Notamacropus eugenii: one gene and its partners. The protein of the gene in region 1 purifies or fractionates together with the protein of each later gene. This does not show direct contact. Links are inferred from orthologs where the notes say so. Each region holds a gene or a part of one and is shown in the gene's direction. Other genes may lie near its edges.

Region 1 (7,212 bases):
TGAGTGTCTGAGGCAGGATTCTAAACTACATCTTCCTGACTGCAAATCCTGTTCTCTCATGACTATGCTTTGGTGGCTTTCATGAGGAAGAATGAGGGCTACCTTCATCCCCTTGAAGGGCAGCTACCAGTAAGAAGAATTCTAGCGGTTCTGTTTAGCCCCTCACCTCAAAACTCAGAGCTAGGAGCCATGGTGGGGAGGGGGAAAGATGCAGAAGGACAAATTTATCTCAACTCCCCATCAAGACAAAAGATCTAGCCAATGGAGCTACTCCAAGGGACACAGGCAGCTAACCTTTATATAGTACCTACTATGTGCCCCCAACACTGTGCTAAATGTGTAACAAATATTACCTCAGTTGATCTTCACAACAGTCCTGGGAGGTAGGTGCTGTTATTATCCCTGTTTTAGGAAGTTAAGGAAAATGAGGCAGTGGGAGGTTAAGTGATCATGCAACCAGTCAAGAATATGAGGCTGGATTTAAATTTGCATCTTATTGACTCCAGGTCCACTGCTCTATCTATCTACTGTGTCACAAAGCTTCCTCCTTGTAGTGGGCTCCTCCTTACTGGAGGTCTTCAAGAGAAGGCTGGAGCACCAAGGATATATGAGCACCGCGTATGTGCCAAACCCTGAGGTAGGTTCTGGGGATGCCAAACTAAAGTGGAAACACTTGCTGGCTGTAGACGGGAATCTCATTGAGGTGGGTAGGAGTTGGATCAGATATTCTCTGAAATTGCTCCCAACTAAGTCAGTGACTGTTTGATTTTCTTCCATTTGAAAAAGACTGACCATGGCTGCCCTTTCCCAGCAGGTGATGGAAGGGCACTTATTCATAATGATAGAAAAGGTCAAATGGTGTCCATTTCTTAGGCACTGAAGGCTCCCTGAAGCCTTTTCCATATTCCCTAGACATATCTTCCAGGTTATGTCTGTCCCTATTTCATCTGTCCCTACTCCTTCCAGCTCTGAGAGACAGTTTGGGACAGCCCATGACCACCATTCCTGAAATAATCCTTAAAGGACTAGGATGAGCCCCAAGTCTTCCAAACTCTCCATAATCTGCCAGATCCATTAGATGGCCATGCTTGAGCTAACCACTGTGAGCATCCAGTCTGGCCCCTTCATTTAAGAGGGGGGACCCAGGGAGGAGAAAGGATTTATCCAGAGCCATAGAGCTTACTACTTACTGCCTAGAGCTGGGCCAAGACATACTGACTTCTTTTCTGGTGCCATCTCCACCAGGGGATTCTGTCCTTATTCTGGGCCCTGCTCTGCAAGTCACGCCAAGATGTACTTGAGTGACATTCCCCTGAACTGTCCTGACTCTCAGCCCAGAATTCTAGCTCAAAAAAATTTTAAATAATTCCATGGGGTAAAAAAAAGGCAAGAGGGAATTGCTAAGCTGCTCCAGCCTCTTAGAGGGAGGAGAAGATGGACATAGCTCTGGAGCTAAATCTAAGCCACCGTATAATTTGCAGAAGGTCCAAACTTGACCTTTTACCATTCCAACACTCAAATGGTGCAGTTCAAATGAGGGTACCTATCTTGCCACCCCAAGATCATTTCCCTCCCAAAATGAAGCTGAAGCACAGGGAGCCTGAGGAAAGATAGGACTCAGCAGAACAGGAGGAGTATCTCATCCATTGCTCATGGGCTAATATTTGTCCTTGTATGTTTTCTGCTTTTCTATCTTTATTCAAGAGAAGGAAAAATTTGGGCTAGATTATAGGGTCATTATATGGTTTAGCTGAGTAAATGACCAGAACCAAAGAGGGATCATTAAGGATTCCAAGTCAGCCTGCACAGAATTCCCAGAGTTTGATACTTGCTCCTATGCTGCTGAATATTTTTACCAATGACTCAGATAAAGGCACAGATAGCAAGCCTATTAAATTTGCATGTCATGATAAATTTCCTTGGTGGCAAGTAATAGGTAATTGTTGGATGACAGCATCAGCTCAAACAATTATGATGGATGCTAGAACATCTGGTCCAGTTCTAATAAGGTCAAATCTAGTAGAAATCAATGTAAATCTTACACTTGGGTTCAAAAAGTTGGTTTCATAGGTACGGGGTGAGGTAAGTATGGTTAGATAGCAGTTTATCTGAAAAAGACCCAGTTGTTCTAATCTTGAAGGCTCACAATGTCTCTGAAATTCAATATGGTAGCCAAAGGATAAATGAGATTTTAGGCTTCCTTTAGAGAGGCCAAGTGTTCCAAACTAGGGGGATCAAAGTTCCACTGTATGGTGCTCTGGTCAAAGCATAGTTAGACTCTTGTGTTAATTCATTATGTCATATTTTAGAAAGGTCATTGACAAACTGGACTGTCCAAAAAAGGACCACTAGGATTGCCAAGGACCTCAGGATCTTGTCAAATGAGCAACTACAAAGAAAGTATTGTCCTGGAGTATTTGAAAGTGTCTGTGAAAACAAGACTAGACTTATTCCATATGTCTCTTTGAAACAAAACCAAAAGCTCAAAGTAAGAGAAAATTTCCCAATGATTAGAGCCATCCCAAAGTGGGATGGGCTGCCAAGAGATCTCCAGGCAATGGCTGGATGACCATGTGATCAGGGCTGTGGGAGAAGAGATGCTCAGTCAGACATATTTGGGACTAGATGGCCTTTGAGGTCCCTTCCAACTCTGAGCCTCTGTCATTTGGTGACAGTTGGAATGGGGTAATCCAGGGAGAAGGGCTGAATCTTGCCCAGAGAGCCAAAAGAGAAGAATCACAGCCAAACATTTGTACAATGATTGACCTGCCTGTTCAACCTTTCTACCACATCCTCTTCCAGCAAATCTCTAATACTCTAAATTGCCCAACAGAAGACAATCTGTATTGGTAGAGGGAATTTCCTCACTGGGAGCACTCTTTAGTCAATTAACTCATAGGTCTGGATCCACAGTGCTATATAGAGGGCAGGGATTGTTCTGTGCTTCCAGAGGGTTTGTAGAACACTTCTGGGCAGACAATAAGCCCTAAAGCTTGAAAACAGAAGATTAGAACCAATGATGACCTCTCCAAGGATCCCAAGTCCTAGGATTTTCTGAAGCCTGGATCCAAAGGGTGAATCTGCACATACTTAAAGAATTTGCGGAGTACCTGGGATGGGAAACAAGAGATGCTACAGGGTGGCTCAGGGGAGGTGGATAGCTGGCTGACTACACTGTAGGGCTGGGACTGGGAAGTCAGCACTATTCATTTAAGAGGGGCTTAGTTTGGAACATCACTTCTGCGGACTCTGGACCCGAGAAGAATCTCAACTGCCTGCTGCCCTCTCGTGGCTGGTGTGGGGAGGACAGAAGCATCTTTTCAAAAAGAATCACAACGCTTCGAGATTTGCAAAGTGCTTTACACAAATTAGCTCATTTGACCCCCACAATTGTGTGAGGTGAGCGTTGTTTTTGTCCCCATTAGGCAAAATGGCTGAAGAAAGGGGGAAGGGGGAGGCGTAGAGGTTTGGGACGCTGAAAGTAAAAGATGGAATTAGGAGAAAGGAAGGGGAGAAGTAGGGGTGAGAGGGGAATAGAGAAAAAAAGACAAGAAGGAGGAAAGGAAGAGGAAGACGCTGAAGGGGGAAGAGAAAAGGAAGAAAGGGGGAGGAATGGGGGAAGAAAAGAGAGAAAAAGGAGAGAATTAAAGAGGGGAGAGATGCAGAGACGAGGACAGACAACCAGAGTCCTGGAGAAGATGGGGAAGAGGGAGGGGAAGGGGAAGGAGGACCGAGAGGAGGGAGAGAGACGTTAAGGAAAAATCCAGGAGAGGGAGGGAGGAGAGAAAAGAGAAGGGAAGGGCGAGACAGAACAGGGAGGAGAAGGAGAGAGAGGAGAGCCGGGGAGAGAGGAAAGGAAGGAAGCAGAGGGAGGGGAAGGGGAAGAGGAAGCGGGAGAGCAAAGGAAGAGAGAAGGAAGGGGACAGGAGACGAGCTGGAGAATGAGGCTGCGGCAGAAGACTGAGCCCAAGCTGCGGCTGCCGGCTGCCCACTCCTGAACCCACTGGAAAGTCAGACCCGCCCCTCCTCCCTCTCCCTCTCCTTCTCCCTCTCTCTCTTCCCCAACCTCCGGGTCCCTTCTTTCCAAAAGGAGTTTCTAGCTCCCGCCCTCCCAGAGCCCTCCTCCTGCCGGCCCCTCCTCCAGTCCCCCAGCCCCCCTTGGCGCTTTCTCTCCTCCGCCAAAGTGCCAGCAGAGCCTGAGCTGAGAGCAGTGGGGAGCCGAGCGGTGGCAGCCGCCTGGACCGCAGTCCCAGCCGCTCCGCGTCCCCAGCCGCACCGAACCGCACCAGACAGCCCCGGACCGCGGCTGCATCCCAGCCTCTTGCTCGCTCTGGCCGGCTTGGCTCAGCCGTGCTTGGAGATCCATTCGCTCCCCCTTGGGTCTTGTTGCTTTCACCTTGGAACTGCGCTTAGGGGAGCCCCCCAGCCGCCTCCTGTCCCTGGGCTGCCCCTCCCAGCCTGCTCCGAGGCCCCGCACTGCCCGTGGGAACTTGTCAGGAGCAGCCCGTCGGGGCTGAGGGGGGAGTGGGAGGCGGGGCACCCCGGGAAGCAGGAGGAGGAGAAGGCGGCGGAGGAGGAGGGCAGCCGCTGCAGCGGGAGGGCCATGCCCGGCTCCCCGCACCCCGCCAGCGCCGCGTTCCCTCGGGTCCAATCCCCGACGGCCGCCCTCTAGGATGCCATTCCCGGACCTGCTCCAAGTCGGCTTCGACGGGCACGGCTCCGACAACGGGCCGGGGGGCAGTGGAGCCGGCGGAGGGGGCGGCGGGGGCAGCGGCAGTGGCGGGGGCTCGGACAGCTCTGGAGTGGTAGTCGCCGGAGTCCCCGCCGCAGCTGGGAGCGCTGCCGTCGTCGGTGCGGGAGGCGGCGAGAGCAACCGCACCTTCCCGGGCGGCCCGGGGGTCGCGTGCCCGGCGGGCAACCCTGGCGGCGGGGGCGAGGTGAACGACACAGCGGCCGTGGGGGGCGTGGTGGTGAGCGCCCAGGCGCTGGGCGTCGGGGTCTTCTTGGCCGCCTTCATCCTCGCGGCCATCGCTGGCAACCTGCTGGTCATCCTATCGGTAGCATGCAACCGCCACCTGCAGACGGTCACCAACTACTTCATCGTCAACCTGGCGGTGGCAGACCTGCTCCTGAGCGCCACGGTGCTGCCCTTCTCGGCCACCATGGAGGTGCTGGGCTTCTGGGCCTTCGGCCGGGCCTTCTGCGACGTGTGGGCCGCCGTGGACGTGCTCTGCTGCACGGCCTCCATCCTCAGCCTCTGCACCATCTCTGTGGACCGCTACGTCGGGGTGAGACACTCGCTCAAGTACCCGGCCATCATGACTGAGCGCAAGGCGGCCGCCATCCTGGGTCTGCTCTGGGCCGTGGCCCTCGTGGTGTCGGTGGGGCCGCTGCTGGGCTGGAAGGAGCCGGTGCCCCCCGACGACCGCTTCTGCGGCATCACGGAGGAGGCGGGCTACGCTGTCTTCTCGTCTGTCTGCTCCTTCTACCTGCCCATGGCTGTCATCCTAGTCATGTACTTCCGCGTGTACGTGGTGGCCCGGAGGACCACCAGGAGCCTGGAGGCCGGGGTCAAGAGGGAACGAAGCAAGTCTGCGGACATCGTCCTTCGCATCCACTGCCGGAGCTCCGGCACCGAGGACGCCCGCGCGGCCAAGGGCCACAACTTCCGAAGCTCGCTGTCCGTCCGCCTGCTCAAGTTTTCCCGGGAGAAGAAGGCCGCCAAGACCCTGGCCATCGTGGTGGGGGTCTTTGTGCTCTGCTGGTTCCCCTTCTTCTTCGTCCTGCCCCTGGGTAAGTGGGGCACTCAGCCCCTTTCCCCATTCCCTTTACTGGCCCTCCGGGCTGCCCTCTTAGCCTTCCCAGATGCCTCAAGGCTTCACTTGGACTGTCTTTGGTTGATGAGCTTGATGTGTGGGTAAAAAGGAAAACAAAACTGATAAGTACAACTGGGAGAAGTAGGGTGGGGATAGGGTAGGGTTGGGGGGAAGTTGTGTATAGTGTGTATTCTCAGTGTGTGTACCTGGGGCACTTGTGGTGGTAAGGGAGGCTGGTGCCAAGGGAGGCTGGAGGCTATCACCCTATCCAGCTTTCTCTTACTGCCTTTTCTAATTAAGCTCATTCATTTGGCTTCCTGAATTATTTTTCCCTGTTCTTGAACCTACTTAGCCTAAGGTTGTGAGAAGGTGGAAATCTTGGTTGTACATGTCCATCTGTGTACCATATGAATGTATAGACACTTCGGTGGGCGTGTGTTGAGAAGCAGAGAGTTCATGGAGATAGGGATTTTTTCGGGATTACCAAGGAAGGGTCACTTGGAATGGCATCAGAGAAAAAGCAATGAACTGGAGAGTCAGGAGACCTGGATCCCAGGACTACCTCTGTGACCTTGGCCATGGCTCTTTCAGCTTCTGACCTGCCTCAGTTTCCTCTCCCTGTAAAACAAGGAGGTTGGGCTGGGTGAGCTCTCAGTCCCCTTCTACCTCTGATATTTTGTCATTCATAGATTTGCTAAAGCCACCTTCTGAAATCCTTCTGAAATCAGCCCGGGAATGCCCAGGTGAGCTTCTTTCTTAAGGGAATAATTCCCCTTCTCCCAGCAGCACCCTTTTACACACACACACACACACACACACACACACACACACACACACACACACACAATGTTTCCTGCAGAGGAGCCAATGTTGCTGCGTATTCCATGCATTCACTCCAGGAGCCTCAATGGGGAGAACTCTCTGTTCAGTACAGTGTGACCTCACTGCAGGTTCCAACATCTCAGAGCTCCAATAGTGACTCGTCCCCTGAGTAACACTCCACAGAACTCCAGATCCCTGCAATGACACAGGCTAGCTTGCCTCCCCTGGAACATGCTGGCTCCCTTGAAAGCTGCCAGCCACGGAGGTTGGCCTGGGGAGCAAGGGATGAGGACATCTGACGATGCCCAGGAGTGTGCATACCTCTACACCTACTGATCATATATGTGCAGGAATGCACATATGTGTGGTGGGTTCATGCAGGTAGACAAGTGCACTGTTGCATAAAGAGACACATATATATGCATGGAGAGACAGCTATGTGCTTGTAGAGAGTTGATGGGACCTTCATTTTAGAATGGAGAAAGAGGTCAGCTAATCCAATCCTCTCATTTTGATCTGATCAAACTCAGGTCCAGAGAAGTTTAATGACTTGTCTGAGGTCCCCCAGGGATGG
Region 2 (7,377 bases), on another chromosome or scaffold:
ATAAGCATAGTCAATGAAAACAAATATTCAGAGATGTCATACCTAAAAATCTATGTCTCATTTTGCATTTTGAGTCTATCAGCTCTCTGTCAGAAGAGTGGATAACAGTTCTACAACAGTCATCTGGAGTAATTGTTGGTTATGGCCTTGATCATGGTTCTTCAGTTTTCTAAAGCTGCTTGTTTTTACAGTGCTATTATTTTTCAAACATTTATTTATTTTTAGTTTTAGTTGGATCATTTCGCTACTCCACCAGCAATGCAATGAAGTTCCAATTTTCCCACATCTCCAGCATTTATCATTTTCCTCCTTTGTCATGTTAGCCAGTCTGATAGACAATTTGTGACATGGTGCTTCTGAGTTGTTTTAATTTACATTTCTCTAATTAATACTGATTCAAAGCATTTTTTATATGGCTAGAAATAGCTTTAGCTTTAATTACTTCATCAGAAAACTGCCTTACTGTATTATTATTGTAGAAAATGATTTTGTTTTGCTTAAAATCAATTCAGACAAGTTCATATAATACAGTAGAATTCTATCATGTTTATATGCCATAATGCCATGTATGTATACATATATTATAATTTCTTCAGTCTTCCCCAGTTGATGGATACCTTCTTTCCAGTCTTTGCTATGAGAAAGTGATCTACTGTAAATATATGTGGTAATAATATTCCAGTTCATATAAACCATAAGCTATTTGTTTGCCATCTTCCAAATAGTAGGTGCCCACATAGTTTCTAGTTTTTTGCTATTCTGTTTTTATACAAGTATCTGCCTTTGGGAATGGAGGGGGAAAGGAAATTAATATAAGTGAACGTTATCTCTAATACATTCTTAGAAAAGTTTCGCATATGTCAAACAGTTACCATAGTGAGGAGGCTAAAAGGGCCTTGCTAGGTGATATGGTAATGGCACCCAATGGCAGCGTTTACTTGAAAAATGTGATGGAAAGCTTCTTTTGTAGAGATGGTGAACTATTGAATATGTGGACTATTGAATATGCAATTAGACAGCATTGATGTGTTGATTGGTTTTCCTGAATTGCTTTTTCTGACAACCTTTTTAAATTTTTTTTTTATATTCTGGGATGTTTTACATATAAGAGGAAGGATAAATTCCGAAATTAAGTTGCTATAAGAAAAAAGAAATTAAAACATTAACAAAAAGGATTAAAGAGGAGGAGGACAGAATACTTTGAGGAATATTGCTTCACAAAACTGCAAAAAGAGGAAAGTGAGTCATGGCAAATTTAAGTCAAATTATTCCATGACCATATATAGATGGAATTGAAAGGAGAATAACAAATTGACATGAAATGGAACAGATCTGCTACTGTTTATAAAGTGATTTGTTCTCAGTGTTGACAACAATAGAACCACTAGTGCTACATAGTGAAGAGGTAGTTATTCCAAAAGACTAGAAAAAAAATGCATCTATTTTAATAAATTTAAAAAAAATATGAAAAAATTCTGTTACTATTTACCAACCCATAGACTATCTGCCTTTTCATTTTCCTAAATTTATTTTTAAAATAAGAATGGTCTGTGAATGCTCTTTGGTGATAATTTGGTGATAACATGAAAGATTTATTAATGAATTCTTATAGCAATCTGTATTTTTACAGTTGCTCCCTTGATAGCTCTAGCAAGCCCAGATAAGCTATATATTTTATTTTTTTAGTAAAAAATTGACTCATTAGAACAAGATGGGAAACAATGCATTTGTTAAAATTATATAATTGACACATATAACTATGTAGATAACTTAAAGTCAAGATCTCTTGACATGAGGCATAAAACAGAGGGTTATATTATCACTGTAGATGTGTAGCAATATCCCAGGGGATTCCCTACATACAAAGTCTAAGCAACATTAATAAAATCCCTTTTTGATGCTGAGGTTATCAGATGCTCTCATGCAAAGATCACAAGGTATTAATTATAGGCAGGTGCTGTACATCTTCAGCAATGAGAGACTGGTCTGAGTGTCTATCCGTGGGTGGGAAAGACAGCACAGGAGATTAAAAAACAATATATTGCCCCTATTGTGACCAGTGGCACAGGTTGAGCTGTAAACATCTTTATTTTGGATGGATATTCTAGGTGAACCTTGAACTGCCCTCAGAATTGAGGAGTGCGGAAATTAGACTCCAATGCATTTAGAAAAATGGTCAGTGATTTTGAATTGCTCAAGTCTAAAGCTCATTCCCTTCATACAAGCTCTCTTCTCCTCTCTTCTCCCCACTTCTTCAATTCCCTTGTCCATCACCCTCAGTAATATGTACTGTAAATCCTAGATACTTGGTATTGGCCACGTAGGGAGAATGAAAGAAAACAGTGATTGGCCAACTGCTATATTGGTGTCTGCATGGGAGGGCATGATGAGATAAAAGAAGATGAGGAAAGCCTCCAGTATTCTGGTTAGTTCTTTGATGAAGGGATTATGGGCAAGAATTTCACAGATGGAGAGTATGTGGAGCATTCATGATCTGTATTAGTAGAGACAGTATCTATCTAATAGGCTAGGGAATGTCAAATTACCAAAAAAAATATCAACTGTGTCCAGTATTTCAGTTATCTTAAGCTTTTTACCCCCATTTTGGGGGTGGAGTATGGAAAAGAAGTTGTATGAGCCTGGTGACATTTTGTTAAATGTTTTGGAAAACTGTATGGAACTTCTGCCGGTGAAGAGTATAGTAATACCAGCCAGCTCTTGCATCATTGCCTAATGATGTCTGGCTCCCTGTTTCTTTGTGCACTGATGCTTAATGTTAATGACTTTATTTTGAGAGTCTTAATTTCATTTGAATGCTGCACCTGTTGTGGGCTGTTCTTGCTGCATGAAATCCATAGCCCAAGTAACTCTCATTCACTTCCTTTTCCTCCCCCATATTTTTACTCTTTCCGGTGTAGAGGATGAGCAGATTAATAACTCAAAAGAAAGGACAACTTCAATGAAGGTCATGATTTTAGAGGTTTGAGGGGACAAGCCAGTCCTAGAGCACTTAACGTGCTGTTGCTGGGAAACTGGAGTCTGAGGTCATTTAAGAGGCCAAGCCTTGAATTGGCAGTTTGATTCTATGTCTCTGCCAGAATGGAGGGGGGTGGGGGGAAGAGGGATGGGTGGGATTCAACAGCTGTTGCTACCTGATATCTGAAACATTGCTGTTGAGGAACATGCATTTCCTCTTTTGCATTTGGACATTGGGTGCTCCTGTGAGAGAAAGAGAGGGGGAAGGGGGAGGGAGGAAATGTTACATAATACAGTTTACTTTTAGAAAAATGTTCTTAATTTCTTGGAGCTATCTTTTAGTCCAAGTAATTTAACATTAGAATTTGGGATGCTGTTTCCGACTTAGGATTCTGCAAAACTGATTTTGTACCTTAATTTCTTGATCCAATCAAAGTAGCAATAGGAAGGCAGTGTGGTACAATGACATGAGCATTGACCTTGGATTCGTGGGACCTGAATTGGAATCCTAGCTCTATTATTTTCAGTACCTGAATGACTTTGAGCAAGTCATTCAAGCCTTAACTTTCTGAGCCTCAGTTTCTCATCTGTAAAAACTGGAGAGGTCAGACTTGATCGCCAAACCACCTTCCAGCTCTAGAGGTCTTCAAGCAAAGGTTGGATAATCACTTGTTGACTGTGCTGTAAGGGGAGGCTGGGGAGGAAGTCTTGTTCAGCTATAGTTTGGATAGTACAGCCTCCTATAGGTCAACTCTCTTAACTCTTTCACTTCTTGAAGTTCAGTCATTCTGAACCCAGGGAGAGGAAATTCTACTCAGAGAAGCATCAGATGATGAATGTTTCTTGGAAGTCATCCTTCTTAGTGGAAGGAGAGGCTGTGTAAGCCATTTGTATTTTAGGCTTTAGTAGTGTGTTTGTCATTCATCTTACTCCTTTTTATGAATTTATGGCCCATGACTCTATTGATGTATTGAGAATTTCCAAAGTATGTTAATGAATAATGCACAAAACAGTGAGTGGGGTGCAATGGAAGGGATACCAGGTTGGGTTGAAGGAGGAGGTGATCAGAAATAAGTCACACCTCTTCTTGCTTCTGATTGCTGCCCTGTCAAATAAAATTTGTAATAACTCTTCTACTCACCTATGGGGATATTCTAAGGATCAAATGAGATAATAAATGTGAAAGAACCTTAAGTAATATAAAGGATTCTTCCAGTATCAGGCAGTATTAATATATATATATACATATATATATATATATTTTAAAAATATCACTATTCTTGTAGATCTTGTAGGGTGGAGATCAGTTATGTATTTTCGAAGGTGACTTAATGCTCTTCAGCTGTCACTACATTGCCTGCAATGGTATATATTCATGGGTGTGTTAATAAATGTTTAGCAACCAGATTGCTAGAGATATATATACTATATATAACATATATATACACACACATATATTTAACACATATATACACATGCTTTTCACTTATTAGTTTAATCTTCATCATTAACATTTTCTCTATCCCTTTTGTAAGTCTGAATAATTAGCAAAACAATAAATCAATCCCTAATTTGTAGTGTTTGCCAATTTCCAAGATTTAAATACACTGAAAATTCAGTAATTTGATAGCTGATTGTTGGTTGCAAGACATCACTGTGTTTATGTGACCTCAAAGGACCAATAGAACTCTGAGGATATCCCATAGAATTTTAGGTTTTGAAGGGGGTCTAGACTTCTAGTCTATTCATATAACTTGAAGCATAAGTCCATTCTGTAAGCTTGACATGTGTGTCCTTCAGGCAAACTCACTTATCATCAAGAAGTAAACCCAATACTTTGGATAGACTCCGAATTTTAGGGCTGGAAGATAATTTAGGGAATATCTATTCTAATTTCTTCATTTTGGGGGTGAGGAAGCTAAGACCCAGACCTGCCCGTGGTTATAACAATTAGTGAGGGAATGAGCAGCAAATCTAAGACTGGGAAACCACTTCTTTACTTTACTCCCAGTTACCCTGCCTCATGATGACTCAGACTTGGTTTTTTTGCCTTTTTCTTTTTCTTGCACTTCTGGATCTTCTTAATGACCTCTGAACCCAAGTTTCCAGAGCAGAAGCCTTACGTTTCCTCTCATATTTCTGTGTCCTCCTAGCATATATTTCAAAAAATGTATTGTTAACCCACCTCCTTCAGGCCATGTGGTCTCTTGAAAGACCCTCTCCAGTCTTCATATTTACATGGGAATTTGAATAATGTCAGTTATGGTTTATGTAAAAGTGACACAAACACACACCTATTTTATACAGAACTTTTCTCCTTAGCTATGTAGTATTAACACCTATGTCATTTCAATTATGCTAGGTTTGGGGAATAAAAAAGCAAAAATAGAGTCTGCCTTTAAGGAACTGAATGAACATTTTACCTGGGAGTGTGTATATATGTGTGGGGATTTGCTCTGTACACAGGTTGTGTGCTTTTCTAATCCTTACTTTGTATGTATTCATATATGTACATGCTGTTTCTTTTGGTAGAATGTTACTTAAGTTGCTTCATCTTTGTCTTTGTATCCAAAGAGCCTAACATAATGCTTTGCAAATATAGACACTTGTTAAATGATTGATTGATAGGGATTGAAGGTAGTGAGGGATTAAATACAGTGGTGTAGAAATACTTGAGAAATGGAAGATAGTATCAGCAGCATGTGAGATATGGGGACAGGGAGTCAGAAGCTTTCATAGAAGAGATGGTATCTGGAGCCCAGGAAGTGTGCATTGGAGAGCTGAACTTGGAATCATTTAATTAAATCATCTAGTTCTGTGGGCAGAGAGCCATCTGGTGATCATGTGGGTGGCATGAGTGGTCCTCGGGTTGGTGTGCTTAACCAAACCCACCAGGTAGACTGTATTTGCCTCCCTTGGGTATGATGGCAAATCTTTGAAGTTTAAGCTCATCCAAATTAGAATTCTTTGTTGCCCCTTTTCTTCATACCTGTAGCATTGAATATGCGTCTATGTAGTTTTAAATTAAATTTTGCGGCGGTAGGGGTGGGGTAGAGAAGAGACTGAGTTTCCACAAATACATACTATTGAGCCCCTTGCACTGGCACATAGCAAGTGCATAAATACGTGCTTATTGACTGACTAAACCTCTTCCATTTCTCCCCCATAAAGAGTTGCACTGGTGAATTGGTAGTGACAGGGGGATCTGGCTTAAGTAGCATCTCAGCTGCTGTTGCAGACTTTCCCTTGTGAATTCCACTGAGATCAGATCCTAGCTTCCTTGCCAATGACTGGCACCCATATACAGCTGCTTCTTTTGGTGGAGGAATGTCATTAGTCACCATAGACTTGGAGACGTTGCTGCCATTTCTGGATTGGTAATAGACTCCTTGGATACTCTTGACTTTTTCTGCCTGGGGAATGCCATGATGCATACTCCTGAAATTTTTTTTTTTGGGGGGGTGAGAATGGAGTGAGGATGTTGGAGTATCATTTTTCTATTACTGTTTCTGGGAAACTAGATATCAGAACTAAAAAAGAACAGAAAAAGAACTAAAAAATTTATCTTGGTCCATGAAGTCCTATAATTAAACTAGGAATTGGCAGCTTGTATAAGTCTTTATACCAGAAGAGAAGGATACATGGCTGTGTTAACTAAGACATTACCTTCATTTTCATTTGGGTGGAATGAATACTACCCCTTGCTCCTACCAATTCTGTATATGATAGGGGAAAAGTTACCACTGTCTCCAAATTTTTCTGCAAAAACAAATATTCTGTTGACTACAAGTCTTTAGTAAAAATTTAGTTAACTGTTTGTTGGATGTGGCATAGTTGAGAGTCTCTTCAGATAAAGCTTGAACAAGATGATCCCAGAGGCCCTTTTCTCTTGAAAATTTGGCACTTCTGGCCTCAGGGTGAGAATATCTTTCTGAGGGAAACAGTACCAGCTGATGACTGCCAGTTCTCCTTTCTCTGTAGGAGAGGCTCTGCGATCACCTATGTGTTTAGATTTTTGTGGTGTAATTGTTTTCTCTTAATGTTATTCCTCATGAAACTTTCTCTATTTACCTGGAAGAAAGGTTGTAATTTACTCTGGTGTGCAACTCCCAAGTTGCCTTCTCTATTAATTCATCATGCGCAGTAGATACCCTTGACTTTCCACACATGCTTAAATACTTGTTCATTTAAATTATGAATTGGCTCATTTGTCTTTTCCCTTATTATTTTTGAGTCTATACTATTTGTGTTAAATTGTAAACTCCTATGTAAGAAATCTGTAAGAAAGATGATTAACACAATCACCATTCATGATTTCCGAGGACTGATGATCAAATAAACATGTTCTCCATGACAGGAAGGTGATGGATTTAGGGTCATTTAGCAAAATACATCACTGTG
Region 3 (7,292 bases), on another chromosome or scaffold:
TTTGAAGGTTAGGCTTCCATTAAGAAAAAAGATCACATTTTTCTGCTTAATATGAAATAATCCATAGACGTTTATTAAGTGCCTAAATATTTCTAGAGCATCTACTATGTACCAGAAACTGTGATAAGTCTGGAGGACACAAAAAGAATCAAAAGACAGTGCTTGCCCTCCAGAAGCTCCCAATCTAGTGGCGGAGACAACAAGCCAATACATACAAACAAGCTATATACAGATTAAATAGGAAATCATTAAGAGAAGGGCACTAGAATTAAGAGAGATTGGGAAAGACTTCCTATAGAAGATCAGATTTTAGTTGGGACTTAGAAGAAGCCAGAGAATGTAGTAGATGGAGATAATGAGAAAGAATATTTCAGTGTCACTGGATAGAAGCATACATGGGGAGTAAAGTCTAAGAATACTGGAAAGATAGGAGGGGGCTAAATTATTGTATTGATAATGCATTTTTGCTTATTGTTAATGTAATTTTGCTTCTTAATGGGAAGATCTTTCCCACCCATTAATGGGTCTGCTCATTAAGGGAAGCTTGATTAGGGGAGACCCACACCTTTTGTTAATTTTCTAAGGAGGCACTAGTTCTCAAGCAAGGGTTGTGATGCCCTCTGGCTATGGAAAGTGTACGTATATCTGAGGTGAGGTTTTATGTTGGGGCTTTCTCATTGAAAATGTTTTGTTTGGCCAGAAGAGTCTCTGGGCAGTTGCTAAGGAGCCCCCGGCTTTGAAAATCCACATGTTGGGGCTTCCATGTATGTAATGGTCAGACAGTTATCTGTCTGTTGGTCTATGACATATGTCTTGCTTATGTTAGGCAGCTGGAAGCCCTGTCTGTTGATCTGTATTTTCTTTGAAATTCAGGGTACTGACTTTTTCCCCTGAACTAAGTGAATAACACATGTGCTTGATTAAAGTAGATTGTTGACCCCTCAAGTTGCTTTTCTTTTAGAAAATCAGATCAAAAACCCTGTGATAATAGGCCTCTTGTGTATGTCGGGGTCCTTGCTTTTACAATTACAAAGGGCCTTGAACACCAAATAAAAAATTTTGTGTTTGATCTTGGAGGCTATAGGAAGTCACTGTAGTTTATTGAGTAGGGAAATGATAGGGTTGGATCTGCACTTAAGGAAAATTACTTTGATGGTTGAATGGAGGATGGATTGGAGTAGGGAGAGACTTGGGCAGGCCATTGCAATAGTCTAGGCATGAGATGATAAGGACTTGTACCAAAGTGGTGGTATTGTCAGGAGAGACAGGGATGTATATGATAGGTTAGGCAAAGGTGAAATCAACAGTCATTCACAATGCATTGGATATGGGAGGGGAGTGGGATGAGAAATAATGAGAAGTTGAGGATGACATCTAGGTTGTGAGCCTGAAAGACTAAGATGACATTGCCCTCTACAGTAATAAGAAACGTAGGATTAGGGCAGGGTTTGGGGAGAAGTATACCGAGTTCAGCTATGGGTATATTGAGTTTAAGATGCTTACTGGCTGTTTAGTTTGAGATTGCCTGAAAAGCAATTGAAGATGCAAGATTAAAAGTAAGGAGAGAGGTTAGTGTAGGACAGGTAGATTTGAGAATCACCAACATAGAAATGCAAGTTAATTCCATAGGAGCTAATAAAGTGGTTATAGAGGGAGAAAAGGATACAGGACAGAAGCCTTTAGGGTTGAAGGGTAACCTAGAGGAGGATGTAATAAAGGAGACTGAAGAGTGCTCAGAGAGGAGGGAGAAGAACTAGGAGAGAGTGGTGTTCCAAAAACCTAAAAAAAAAAAAAAAAAAAAGAGAATATTGAGAAGGAGATGGTGACCAACAGTTTCAAAGACTAAAGAGAGGTTGATAAGAGTGAAGATTAAGAAAAAAATCATTGGATTTGGCAATTAAGAAATCACTGGTAATTTTGGAGAGAGCAACTTGGGTGGAATGTAAGATCAGAAGCCAGATGTAAGGGGTTAAATGAGAGGAGACAAAGTAGAGGCAGTTGTTAAGATGGCCTTTTTTAAAAATTTTAACCACAAAGGGCAGAAGAGATGTAGGATGATAGACCGTAGGATCCAAGTGAAGGGTTTTTGAGGATAGAGGGAGGGGCATTGGGCCTGTGTGGAGGCAAGAGAGGGAGGAAGAACTGAAAGTAAGTGAAAGGGTAGGGATGGCAGGGGGGGCAATCAGATAGAGGAGTTAGTATTATAGTAAAGAGTAAGGCTACTTCATCATGTGAGACAAGGGTGGAAAAGATAGTGGCCCAACACGTATAAGTAATATGAAATTAGGAAGGGAGGAAAAGAGGGATATTATAGCTGCAATTTTTTGTATGAAATATAACATAACAGAGAGTGAGAGGAATAGAAGCTATGGGAAATTTGAGAAAGGATAAAAAATTTGTGAGAGCTGCCATGGAGAGTGGGATAGTGAGTTGATACAGGAGGTATGGTAGGATTGCCTAGCAGCAGTGAAGGCCCAGTTGAGGTTGTGTAATATAACAAATATATAGTGGACCCCATCAGGACAGTTGTATGGTTTTCCTCCCTCTTTGTTCAGCAGCACATGCGTAGGACCAAAGGCAAAGGATGGTGGCAGTGATCTAAGGCTTACGTTTGACAGGAAACAATCTGAATAATAGTAAGAGAACTAAAGATTCAAGAGAGGAAGGCAAGGTAATGTTGAATTGGTTCACCAATGTGTCAAGATGGGGGAAAGAGGAAAAAATGGCTAACATTATTATTGATTATTAATAATGATAACAATGATTATTAATGACAGCTAGCATTTCTATAGCAGCTACTACATGCTGGACACTTTGCTAAACACTTTACAAATATTATCTCATTTCATCCTCATAGCATCCCTTTGAGGCAGGTGCTGTTATTATCCCCATTATGCAGCTGAGGAAACTAAGGCAGAGATTGTGACTTGCCCAGGTTAACATAGCTAGCAAGTATCTGAGGCTGAATTTTAACTCTATTTTTCTTGACTTCAGGTCCCATCCTCTATCCACAGTACCCCTTAGCTGCCTACTCTTAACAAGTAGTTGTTCTGTCTATACTCAAAGAGCTAGGTTATTTGGAAAGTCGTCATATCCGTATACAGCCCGTTCTACATCAGTATAGTTCTAATTGTTATGAAGGTTTTCCAATGGATCTCTGATCTCATCCCTGCAGTGGCTACTCCCCCAACAGTACAAATTGCAATCCACCCATGCATGTCTATTCTGTGTAATTCTTTTCCACGTTGTCCCATAAGGCTCCACCTGATGTGTTGGCAGCTTCCCTTTAGTTCACTTGACATTAAATGTGTAACAAGGGAGTAATGAACTGTCTACGGTTGCTTTTGTCATATATTTTTTCCTTTTGTTGAATGAAAATCCATCTAGCTAGGCAGATATAAATACACACTTGCACAAGCAATATGAAGAGTGTAAGTCAATAAATTATCCTGACATTGCAATAAAGAAACACACTGGGGAAAAACTGTAGGAGTATAGATATGAACCTTTCAGGAAAAGTCCCTTTGATGTGAGTATGATGCCTGCTAAAGTCATCTCATTTTCTCACCTCCCAACCTTACTCCTATTTCCCTTCCTCCAGATCTTCTTCCTTAGGCAGAATAACTCTTTCCCAATCACAGTCCCTGACAGAGTTGGCTCTGGGAGCCGTGAGAAGCTGCACAGGTTTCTTTTGTCCTTCTTATACAAGCTTCATTGGGAAATGCTATGGATAATCTGTGCCTGGGGACTTAATTCAAAGAGTGATTTAAATCCTTGTATCCACAATTCATTTAAGCAAGTTTGTCTCTGACTATATTGTTAACCTTGAACTGTGTGGTTTTCTCCCTTTGATAGGTTCTAAAAGCTCATTTCCTAAATTTCATTTCAATTCTCAAGAAAAATTTTGCCTTTTTTTTTTTTAACAAAATTTTATTTGGGGATTTAAAAAAACCTCATTTGTGGAAATAAAAACCCTCTTGTGCTCCAACATAATATTTTATGTCCTATATTTGTTCCCCTCCCCCCAGAGGAAAAAAGATCACCCAAAAAATATCATAGGAAAAAAATCACCTAATACATTTGTGTTATATATACCTGGGAGATTGCTAGTGAAGAAGAAAGTGCAGGAGCTGTTCTCCATTGCTTTCCACTTGCAGGAATGGCAGTCAGAGAACATTCCTTCGTGGGCAGCCAAGTTTGGAAGTTAGTTTGATTTCTGGCTAGGAGAGGAGGGGAGGATGGGGGAAGGGAGGGCAGAAGACAGGAAGTAGCAGAACGATTTCTCAGCCTGGTCTTTCATTCCCAGCCTTTCAGTAATAGTCATCAATGAAAGCATCCTCTTTCATCCATGCAGGGACAGGTAAAAAGACAGCTGAGTAAATCTGTATTAGATATCAGAACGGAAGCACAGCCAGGACTGGGAGAGAAAGGGAGGGCACATGAAAGCTTGTGATTGGTGAGTTCACCAAAGGCATCTGCCAGTGGGACTTCAATGGAATGTGAAACCAAATCATTTACAAGTTAAAGATAGACACAGTATATACCCAGCTCTGGAGGCAAGGATTAGGTTCATCTAGCTCCCTAACATTTCAGGGAGTTCTGTTTTGATCTCTGTTATAATTAACTCTTTGGACAAATTTTGTCCTCTACTCTATTTTCTCCTTTTTGTATCCATACACATTCTGGATACATTGGAATTCAGGTGGTTTAGGAGGTGATGGTGCATACACTAGGGTAAGTAGAAAGCTTTATTTTCAGGTGCAACTCTTAACTGTGAAAGCTAATTTGGAATTCTTTGAAGAAAAGAAAAATGAAATAATTTGGGCTTTGAGTATCTTGAGGGTAATCATTCCTCTATCCTTCTAGAAACATTTGGATTTCATGTTTTAAGCCATTGAAAGAGAGCTCTATAGTTTTGTTGGTTTTTTTTTTTTTTTGGTACTGTTTGCCAGTCCATTTAAAATTTATCTGCTGTACCCTTTGCTCTCCCCCTTCCCCCCCCCACACACTTACCCACTTCTAACACAATAGGTTTGTTTAATTAAATTATCAGTAGTCTTATACTGTAGGATACTGCAAACAAAGAATATCATCTTTTTAGTGTGTTGCTGGAGAAAGTGTGTTATATGGGTTTGACACTTCAGAAAAACTTTGTAATTCCTCTTGCATTATGTTTCCTAATTTGCATAGAAAAAAAGCTGTTTGAAAAGTGCATAGGGTAACTACAGAAGATAATTTCTTAGCTAATCTTAAAAAGTTGGGGGACAAAAATAGTACCTACCATATCGCAAACACTTAATAGGTATTTTTAAACTAAATTAATGATGGAAATACATAGCTTTCATCAAAAAGGACTTAATTTAAAGAAGTTATTTTCTAATAAGTGTAACTAGTAATATCTGGCATATTCCTTTAACTAATCCCTCAGAAAAAAAAATAAAGCTGGCATTTGCTAAATCATTACAAAGGTTTGATTATATTGCAAAGTGTGTGTTTGGGGGGGAGTAGATTTTTTTTTAAATCCACTAATCTGTATTTTAAGGATTTTTGTGCTTCTTTTAGAAGACAGGATAGAGAAGCAAACTACTTGAAGCAAACTACAATTTCATTTCCTTGCACATTCTGACCATGTATAGATTTTGCTTTTTTCTTTTGTAAAATGACCTCTTGGCTGTGTTCTTACTAGCTGCTTTTCCAAACTTGCCCAGCACTCCTTCTGAATAAATACTGTCCGTAATTGTCACAGGGAACACAGCGTGAATTAGAAAGTCTTTCTATGGGGAAAATAAATCTGCTGACATTGTTGTTATAAAGCCCAGAACTGAAGACAGTTGTTGATTATGGAAGTTTAATCTATGCTCTGCCTTACAGACTAGGCTGTACTAGATTAAATGAGATTAAAATAAGCAATGGGTGCCTTAATCTGGTTACTTTGTATTGTAGATAATTCTGAGTGCATCACCCAAGTTGGCAAAGAAAAATAACACCCACCGTTCAGGCCTCTAAAGGAAAATGGATGTTAGACTAATGATCTGGGGGCAAATTTGCCTTTTGCATTTTTCCAGGGTGGTAAAGGAAATGGCAGTAACTTAGTACTCCTCAAATTCTTCCTAGAGATATGGGAGAAGAATTTTTGAGCTAAGTAACCTATCCACCTAGTGGTGGGTCAGACTCTAACCCTTCCCTGTTAAGCCTCTCAAAAAAGGATCAGATATCAGTTATCTACAAGTTAGTGTGATTTCAAGGAAAAATATGAGAATCCCAAGGGTATTGTGCTTTACATCTTATCTCTAATTATGAAGAGAAAGGCTTTGTTGTCTTTTATAGATATCTAGCCAGCATAGTAGGGAAGGTATTTATGGGCAAACACTGGAGGTTGTGTTTGTGAAGGGAGAGGGCTTTTCTGAAATCCCAGGACCTAGGCAGTAAGCAATAACCAATTCTATCTATGCTAGATCCCTAAGTAAATCATTCAGCCATTCAGCATTGAAATACTTACTATGTGGTAGAGACTGTCCTAAAGAATGCAAAGAAAGACAAAAATCTATGTCCTGTCATCAAGGCTAGTCCTGTGGTATCATGGGAATTTTCCCTACCCACTTTGTAAAATTAATTCAACCCTGGTAATAATTTTGTTTCATATTTGGGGAAAAAACCCATGTATTCTGGCATATGTGGCAAATTACTCAACTCAATCCTTCCTCTTTGGTGTGAAAGATTCAAGTAATATACTCTTTATTCTGCTTGTAAATTCCATCAAGTATTATGAATGAATGGATGAAGCACTTTAGTACTTAGGATGTGAAGAACACTGTTCTAAGTACTTGGAATACAAATAGAAAAGCAAGGACAGCCCCTGCATTCTAGGAGCTCACCTTCTAATGGGGAAGGCAACACTTACCTTCCTCAGACACCCACAGAATTGCCTCTTTTGTGTGACTTCAAGAGTTGGGTCTGGAAACTCTGTGGAGGATCAGAGGTAGACAGTGATATGCTGGTAAATATTTAACAACTGGCTTTCTTGAGGAGGAACCAGGAATGAAAGCATAAAAGATTTTTGAAATTTAATCTCTGTTATAAACATTTTTCCATCACTTTCTTAAATCTAAACAATCACCAAATCAATAAATCAAGCTCTGATTTGTAGCTTTTGGTGATTTCTGAGGTATAAATGTTCACACTAAAAATTTAACAGTTGGCTCTCCAATATGAATTGCTTCTATCACACCCCTGGAAATGGGTTGCAGAGTGGAAGCTACCATATAATTAGTGGGATTGCCACTTGTCTGAAT

Evidence for each region.
Region 2: the proteins of ADRA1D (region 1) and utrophin-like purify together in Homo sapiens (tandem affinity purification; 4 studies listed by BioGRID and IntAct, with this or other methods). This does not show direct contact. The link is inferred for Notamacropus eugenii from reciprocal best matches to the Homo sapiens genes ADRA1D and UTRN.
Region 3: the proteins of ADRA1D (region 1) and DTNA purify together in Homo sapiens (tandem affinity purification; 4 studies listed by BioGRID and IntAct, with this or other methods). This does not show direct contact. The link is inferred for Notamacropus eugenii from reciprocal best matches to the Homo sapiens genes ADRA1D and DTNA.

Annotation. Positions count from the first base shown.
Region 1 is NC_092872.1:735,296,492-735,303,703, forward strand, and holds the start of ADRA1D (alpha-1D adrenergic receptor), read left to right. Parts: upstream 1-4,167; 5' UTR 4,168-4,673; coding exon 4,674-5,793; intron 5,794-7,212. UniProt on the Homo sapiens protein: This alpha-adrenergic receptor mediates its effect through the influx of extracellular calcium.
Region 2 is NC_092873.1:232,659,858-232,667,234, forward strand, and holds the start of utrophin-like, read left to right. Parts: upstream 1-4,325; 5' UTR 4,326-7,377.
Region 3 is NC_092875.1:262,176,831-262,184,122, forward strand, and holds the start of DTNA (dystrobrevin alpha), read left to right. Parts: upstream 1-4,258; 5' UTR 4,259-4,717; coding exon 4,718-4,734; intron 4,735-7,292. UniProt on the Homo sapiens protein: May be involved in the formation and stability of synapses as well as being involved in the clustering of nicotinic acetylcholine receptors.